2 linked regions of the Mus musculus genome follow. The protein of the gene in region 1 purifies or fractionates together with the protein of each later gene. This does not show direct contact. Links are inferred from orthologs where the notes say so. Each region holds a gene or a part of one and is shown on either strand. Other genes may lie near its edges. The genes, in order: Rpl7l1 and Rexo4.

What was found.
Region 2: the proteins of Rpl7l1 (region 1) and Rexo4 purify together in Homo sapiens (affinity purification with mass spectrometry; 3 studies listed by BioGRID and IntAct, with this or other methods). This does not show direct contact. The link is inferred for Mus musculus from reciprocal best matches to the Homo sapiens genes RPL7L1 and REXO4.

The regions. Positions count from the first base shown.
Region 1 is NC_000083.6:46,779,857-46,784,094, forward strand, and holds the start of Rpl7l1 (60S ribosomal protein L7-like 1), read right to left. Parts: upstream 2,801-4,238; 5' UTR 2,777-2,800; coding exon 2,763-2,776; intron 2,036-2,762; coding exon 1,927-2,035; intron 696-1,926; coding exon 535-695; intron 1-534.
Region 2 is NC_000068.7:26,961,571-26,966,017, forward strand, and holds the start of Rexo4 (RNA exonuclease 4), read right to left. Parts: upstream 2,817-4,447; 5' UTR 2,749-2,816; coding exon 2,482-2,748; intron 1,154-2,481; coding exon 813-1,153; intron 1-812.

The sequences.
Region 1 (4,238 bases):
CCTGCTAAGTGTGGACAATGCTTCTAGCACGGTGCCCTGTGTCTTTAAACCGTCACAGGACACATGGCCATGAGCAATCCTAACCTTTACTCTGTGCTTCATTGCTGGGTTTAACGGCACGTGGCACAATGCCGGGCCTACTTTCATGTCTTTTGTCAAGTTGTGGTTACTACTTTAGAAAGGGTATCACTAGGGGGCTGGAGAGATGGCCCTGTGCTTAAGAGTACTGGCTGCTCTTCCAGAGGTCCTGAGTTCAATTCCTAGCACCCACATGGTGGCTCACAACCATCTGTAATGGGATCTAATGCCCTCTTCTGGTGTGTCTGAAGACAGCTACAGTGTACTCATATACATAAAATAAATCTAAAAAAAAAAAAAAAAAAAAAGAGCCCCACCTTCACCCTGAGTGTCCTTATGTCACCCATGGTCCTAATTCCGAATCCTAGCCAATCTTCTGTAGTAGGTTAGGCTTTGTCTCCCTACAGAGCCATCTGAAGTTGAACCAAGGACTCTGAAAACACACTGGTACTGTACCTTTCCATGCGTATAACGAAGGCCAAGGGATGTTTATCAGGCACCTCCAAAGCACGAGGCTTCACCTCCAGCCGCTGGACACGCACCTTGTCACGTTGCTGTCGCCAGGAATCATGCACGAAAGATTCTAGTCGTCTGAACCTGAATTGCTTTCCTTTTCTCTGTGGCAGAGAAGACACGCATCAGCATCTCTTCCCCTCCACAGTTAACCCAGGACCATTAGTAAGAGAGCTCAGCTCTCAAACGTTCTGCAAAGTGGGCAGACCATTACCTAAGGGGCACATGAAGAGGCCAGATGGAACTGAGAGATGTAAGAGCAGTCAGTGCTCTTAAGGGCTGAAGAAAAGTTTGTGGTGAGCTCATATGCTGGTAACATTTAATACAGGTGTTTAGGAAACTCAACACTATATTAGGCATCATTAAACAAGAGGATTTTCTTCTCTTTGCGTTCAAAAATCCTGTACATACTGTGTGCAGAATCTACACATTGGTTTTTCGAGACAGGGTTTCTCTGTGTAGCCCTGGCTGACCTGGAACTCACTTTGTAGACCAGGCTGACCTCGAACTCAGAAATCCGCCTGCCTTTGCCTCCCGAGTGCTGGGATTAAAGGTGAGCCACCATGACCAGGAATTTTTTTTTAATTAGATATTTTCTTTATTTACATTTCAAATACTATCCCGAAAGTTCCCTATACCCTCCCCCCAAAGATTTATTTATTATTATATGTAAGTACACTGCAGCTGTCTTTACACACACCTGAAGAGGGAGTCAGATCTCATTATAGGTGGTTGTGAGCTACCATGTGGTTGCTGGGATTTGAACTCAGGACCTTCCGAAGAGCAGTCAGTGCTCTTAAGGGCTGAGCCATCTCTCCAGCCCACACGTGATTCTAAATAAACTTTTAAAATTGTTGGATACTTTTGGTTTGAGACAGGTTCTCTTTATATAGCCAAACTCTCCATTTTCCTGTCTCAACCTTCTAGAATGCTGAAAAGTGTGCCACAGATAGCAATTTAATCGCAGCATTCTAGAGGCCTAAGTAGGCTGATCTGTTAGTTTGAGGCCAGCCTGGTCATACAGTATTCCAGACCATATGTACAGACCCCATCTAAGAAACAAACCAACCCCAACAAAACATTTTTAAAATAATCTATTTTTTTCCCTGCCAAATTTGGTTTTACCACTAAATTTGAATTCAGAAAATGTCTTCACTTTTCCCTTAAAGGCTGGTCTAACATTTTGCTCACAGAAAGATGGTGGGTAAATCTTTGCTAAATGGAGGACTATGAGGGAGAAACCTGTGAGGGATCTGATAACAAATCTAGTTCAACGAACACCGTTTAGTAAAATCCGTCCACTACAAATCCTAACCCCCCCCCTCTCAGAATTACCTCTCTCTTTGCCAAAAGTGCCTGCTTTGCCTGAGTGGCTTTGAGGGCTTGATAAGCCTTCCTCTTTTTCAGAAGATTTTCTGGAACCAAAGGAATTTTTTTTCTTTCCCTGATAAAGGAACAAATTTGACATTAATGAAAATTGCCAAACCAACATTTGGTGGCTTTCCAAACCAATTCGAGATCCTGGTCTTCCCGGGACCTAAAGTTTCTGATGAGTCTTCGCCGTGCTCCTGTAATGCTCACTCGTCCCGAGAGCCTTTAAAAATCAGGAAAAACCTTTGCTCTCTGGGTTCGTTTTGGTCCGTGGAGCTTTAACAACTGTAGGCTATGACCTGTCACTAGCGGCAAGGAAATTCTAGTAAAATCCAGAAAGGGGCTATCACAGATCCATCAAGAAGAGTAATGATTAAGTCGAGCTAGGATGAGGTGGGGGGGGGGGGCACATGAAAGCAGGAGGGGGAATTGGGGGGAAAGAGCTTGGTGGAAGACGCAGGGGAATAAGAGATGATGGGGAGGTGATACGATCAAAATACACTGTACGTGTGTACCAAACTGTGAAAGACATGACAGCCAAGCTGAGCGAACTCAACTCTGGCGCTACGCAGCCACTCGCCCCTCCGAACCTCAGTTCCTCTTCTCGCTGCTTCCAAAGTCGTCCCGATCCCTGGTCGCGGAGCCCTACAGCATCTCAGCCCCCACCTTGACTTCATACTATGGAGCCTTTTTCTTTTCTCTCCACAGCCCACAGCTTCCTTTTGTATCACCAGAGTACAAACAGAAAGGATGGCATCGGATCCTCAAAGCCCCATAGAGAGATCCGAAGACACACTCACCCTTCCTCCGCCATCTTTCCGGTGCTTCAGCTACTGCGCTTGCGCAGCCTCACCGGGCGGGGTAGAGAGGCCCGCCTCGACGTCTCTTGTATCATAGAGACGGACTCTCGCTCCCGCAGGAGGACTCAGGCAGCCTGAGATTCCTTAGCGAATGTGAGCGTCTGGGAAAAGGTCTTGCTAGCCAGGATTCCGGCAAAAAACCCTCCAGTTTTCTTCCCATCCCTTCTAAGGTCTCTAGAGTCTGACACCCGTCTGGATCCAACCCTTTTCAGTTAGGCTGTAGGGTCTCGAACTCGGCCGCTTGTGAACAATTTAAAGGCTTTCCACAATGCATCTGCAGCTTCCGCTACGGCACGGGCTCTACAGAAGTTGGCCGCCTTGCTTAGGTGAGGTTTTTATTCCCGGAGACTTGAAGGACCGACGTGGCACTCACATTTGGTGGGCGGTTATTTGTGGAGGATTTGCGGAAATAAAAATGTGTCACCTACTCTGTGAGCCTTTGAATTCCTCACCTTTCTGCATCTCGGCTTCCTCATCCGTACAATGAATATCTACGGGTTCCCAGTGGCCGCCAGGGGGCTCCTTAAGATTTACAAAGCCTTAGCACAAGTTGGGTAAACAGTGGAGCCAGAAACTAGAAATGCTCCATTTCCATCTCAGAGCCTTCACTTGTTTAAGTTTCTCAGAATTTACTCCCATTGCCACATACTAGCACAGTGCTGTTTTATGCTAGCACAGTGCTGTTTTATGCTCTAGCCTAGGACAACGCCACTATATAACACTAGAAAGGGTCGCCACCCACAGCCTTTATCCTACACCTTTGGCTTATGGGCAGGAGACTTTTCTTATTTTCTGTGTCTCTTCTGCACCTCACTACACCACTTCACTACAGTGGGACTCTGCAAGGAATTGTTGAGTACCCAAGGACTGATACATGATGTTGGAACACACTAAAAAACTAGTCCACTCAACACGCTAATGTCATTACCAGATGAATGTCAAAGGAGATTAAGGGCACGACCTCTTCCGGCCTCCTGCACCAGGCATACCAGGTATTCTAAACTATTCCATGGATTGCGCTAGAACCATGCTTGTTTTTAAGTTTCCTCAAAAATCTCTGTCCGGGGCTGGTGAGATGGCTCAGTGGGTAAAAGCACCCGACTGTTCTTCCGAAGGTCCAGAGTTCAAATCCCAGCAACCACATGGTGGCTCACAACCATCTGTAACAAGATCTGACGCCCTCTTCTGGAGTGTCTGAAGACAGCTACAGTGTACTTACATATAATAATAATAATAATAATAATAATAATAATAATAATAATAATAATAATAAAATATATATATATGTCCCATATTGGGTGAGCCACTTGTCTATGTGACAGAGAAAGAAGAGCAAAATAAAAAATAAAAACAATAGTCCTAGTGGGGACTGTCGCTGCTCATCTCATAATATTTGCTTGTTTTTAAAGATTTATT
Region 2 (4,447 bases), on another chromosome or scaffold:
AGGATACCCTGACACCTCCTGCCACACACACAAATGCTAAAGTAAAATGCCTGTGTGTCTTTCCTGCTTATATCAGCCTTAGGAGGGAGGGGCCTTGTAGTCTCTCCAATCCAGCCTGCTTATATAACTCAGCAGAAGCAGTTAAACTCACGTCCCTTTACCCTTCAGCAGCTGAATCTTGTAGCCTGTCATGGGCTCACTTAGCTTGATCTGACACAACTCTCATAAACACACTTCCCATACCAGTTCCCAAAGAAATGTTCTCCTTCCCCTTTGCCCGCACCCTCCACTGTATAATCCCAGACCAAGGTTTTCTTTAGGTTTAAGGGAAGGCAGGAAAATCCTAGGCAGCAGGAAGCCAACCTGCCTTATAAGCATATCCCATCCAGGCTAGGTGTTATCACAGTGCTCATTAAGCAGGCAAAAGACACTAAGCAACACATAGTGCACTTCAGTCCCCCTAACTGTACAGATGACCACACTGAGGATAAAAGGATGCAAGAAAGCCATCAATTGGCAAAAAGGCAGGACTGGGTTTCACAGGAGTCCTTCTGGGTCCAGCACACACTATGAAAAAGTTTTTGTTGGCTCTTACCTTGTGCCAAGCTCTACACTGGGGCCCAAAGACACAGTATTATCTGTATAATAGGGTCTGCCTTTAGCAGCCCACACTCTAGGAGAAACAAGGGACGAACAAACAAATATCACAGGGTTGGGTAGAAGACTGTACCAGGGCCGAACGGTGGTGGTGAAGACAGTGGATCACCTGTTTCTGTGGATGTTCCAGGCACCACAGCAGAGTTGATACTTACTCAGTGGGCGTGGGCTGATTCAAGATAACAGCTGCCTCCGTAGCTTTCCACTTAGGCTTGAGAGCCCCTTGATGAGAAGAGATGTCACTATATGTCCTCTTCTTGGCTCCTTTCTTCTGCTCTGTTCCAGAGGTATCTGTGGGAGGTACTAGTATCTTCCTGTCCGTAGGTGCAGATGTAACAGAACCCCTAGTGCTCTTGGCCTTTTCTGTCCTCTGCTTGTCTCCCTTTGATTTATCTGAGGCCTTTTTTCTGTTCTGCTGGATTATTTGGGGGTGCATTTTGTCATCCATCTGAGAGACAAGAGGTTTTTCTGCGGCCTGTGACTTTTGTTTCAGTAGCTAATGGAATCAAAATTAAATATAAGCCACATTTATTATTTTGTTAAAAGCCACATTTAATTTTGAACTGACATACCACAGGTTCAAGAAACTTGTGTGTACATCTATTCTATCATCCATGCACTTCCCATCACCACTAATGGTGCTTTTCACTTCTTTATTTGGAGTTTCACTTAGTGACTTCCATGGTCAACACTGTGGGACACAGTGATCACTTCCGTTATCTCTGGAGGCGGCTACAGCTCAGAATCTAAGGAAGACCTGGAGGAAGGGAGTTCAATGGAAAGAAAGAAGTCCTGTGAAACCAGATAGGGCTGATCCATGTAGAGGAGAGGTCCAGGAGACCAATTTCTTCCTTGTGTTCAAATCTCCAGTTAAGACCACAACAAGATGGCAACCAGCTGAGAGATGTTGCAGTGAGTTTCTACTTATTCACTCCCCTAATACTTAAAAGGCCTGAAGGATTTAGATTCTTGTAGAAACCAGAGCCAAATCCAAGTTTCCTTTAGTAAACATGTCCTCCCTGCACACTTTACTTTCTTGGGAGAAAGAACAAGAACCAGCATACACAGCCCTGACTGTCCACAGGGTTTGGCTGCTCCTGGGTGTCCTGTTGGAAGATCCACACTAAGGAACAAGGTGGAGTGTTGTTATGGAGGCCAAGAAATTCCTTATTGTCTTTCTTACTGAGGCTCCATGACATACACTCCTCAAGACTCCCTAGAAGTCGACAGTGAAGGCATATTCAGCACCCCAGTTCTGCTGTTTACACCGTATGTGACCTACTTTCAACTCAAACCCTGTAAGTTATGTGTCACAATTTCCCCGTCTAAGAAACAAGGGCAGTAAAAGCATCTAACTAAGCTGGGCGTGGTGGCGCACGCCTTTAATCCCAGCACTCGGGAGGCAGAGGCAGGCAGATTTCTGAGTTCGAGGCCAGCCTGGTCTACAGAGTGAGTTCCAGGACGGCCAGGGCTACACAGAGAAACCCTGTCTCGAAAAAACAAAAACAACAAAAAAAAGCATCTAACTAGTATGGAAGAATTTATGAATGGGGGTAGGTATAGAGGCTCAGGACTAGGGAGGCTACCTAATGTAGGAGGACAACCACTAGTGTGGGTATACCCTGAGCTACAATAGTTCCAGAACCACTGGGCCAGAGTTCTGGGACATAGTTTAAGACGTTGCCAGGGTGGCAACCTAGATAAGTGATTCATAATTGAGAAAAAGAATTTGAATGAAGCAGAGGGCAACATCCCTTCCTCCTTCGGAGTCTGTGGCTACCTGACAGAAAGTTCGGGATGAAGGTGGCCTGTCGCCGGTCTCACCTCTTGCAACGCCTTCCAATTTTGAGAAAAGTTCTCGGGGGCCTTCGGCGGTCGGCCTGCCACAGCCGCCGGGTGGCTTCCCGGAACCCCACTTCCTGCCAGAGCTTTGCTCTTCCTGAACTTCTTCTTGGCTTTCTTCCTAGCGAGCTTCCTGATAGGCCCAGGTTGGGGCACCGGCGCGGTGGCCTTCGTCTTCATCTCCCCGCTCTCCGCAGTCGGAACCACCAGGGAAGAGACCGCGACTCCAGCAACCGCGCAAGCACACATTTCCCAGGGTGCAAGCGTGCTCCACTGCGCATGCGGGAACCCGGGTTGCTGTTCTCTTCGCGACCTGCTAGAAACCGAGACTGCATCTTTGGTTCCGCACGTATGCGGACTCTGCGACTAGCCCGCTAGTTAGCACTGGGGGCTGACAGCCCTGGCTAGCAGCGCTGCGGTTGGATACCCAGAGTTTGACGGAAGGGAGCCCAGACCTTCACAAAGATCTGGTGTCCCGGAAGGCCGCAAATGAGGAGACTCTGGGACACCGGAAAAGGCTGGGGGACTACTCTCGGTGTGGCACTCACGGGGGTACGGAAGAGGCGGAGGCGGGTCTTGTGTAGGTTGCCCTATGCACAACCACACACTGCGAATACCGAAGCCTTCCCCACGTCTCTGGTTTACTGACTGCAAAGGCACGCCAGCAGTGTCCGATATTAATGATAAAGCAAAATTTAATTGTGACTATATACGTATACATATACATTCTTAATCGCAGTGTTAATGACCAGCAATCTATTCTTGATCCTGATAGTGCAATACAGATGGGGCGGTCACAGTTGAATCGTTTGCCCTCGGGTTTCTCTGACTAGAGATAAGCAGCAAAGCCAACAGACCACGTAAGAAGGTTTGGGAGACTTGGTGGTGGCTGTTAGGAAAAATATCCAATCAGGACACCCCCTCCCCGGCACCCCCCAAGACCAAGTTCTGAGCACAGAGAAGGCTAGGCAGATTCCGCAACACACTTCAAATTGGCAGTTAAAGAGACTAGGCCTAAGGTATGGGCAAGTCCAAGCAACTCGATTACTAGTAGAAAAAAAAAAAAAAAATCCAGGCTCTAGCCTTCGCACCTGTTGGTATTCTGTCTGGACTCCACCCCCACCGAAACCTGGCAACAGCCAGATATGCTCCTCCACACAGTTACCTGGTAGCAGCTAGGTAGGACTGACCCTATAAAAGGGGCTGCTTGCCCCCTCATCCCTCTCTCTTTCTCTCTCACGCTTTTGCCTCTTGGCCCCTTGTTCCCCCCTTTCCCCATTCCCTTACCCCCTCTCTCCATATGCTCATGGCCAGCCTCCAATCCTCTCCTCCCCCTCCCCCTCCCCCTCCCCCTCCCCCTCCCCCTCCCCTCTCTGCCTTTGTCTCTACTACCCTCTTAACTCCCCTCCCCATGCCCCGAATAAACTCTATTCTATACTATACCGTCATGTGGCTGCTCTCTCAGGGGGAAGGGATGCTGAGGCATGGGCCCACTGAGGCACACCCTTCCCCCACACCCTGCCAGAACAGATCTTAGTAGCTCTTTCTCTTTTTATGATCACAACAGCACTCACTCAGATAATGGTTCTGGAATGCCTAGAGATAGAATAAGATAAAGCCCATCTACCCCAGAAATCCAGTGCGCTTTAAATCGAGCCTTCAAGCTCACTTGATGGTCTCTCTATCTTAGCAATGGGAGACCCCAGCATGCTGGACTTCTGCAGAATAAAACACTCTTTGCGGTTACATACTATTTGAGTCCAGGGTGCCAGTTTTGGGGGACCCTTACAAAAAGAGATTTATTTGCCCCAGAGGGTAGGAAATAAGAGACATAGATATGAGAGAGAGAGAGAGAGAGAGAGAGAGAGAGAGAGAGAGAGAGAGAGAGAGAAAACAAAGTAGAGGGAGGAGGCTATTTGCCCTGGGGGGTGGTACCTCTGCCTACTGA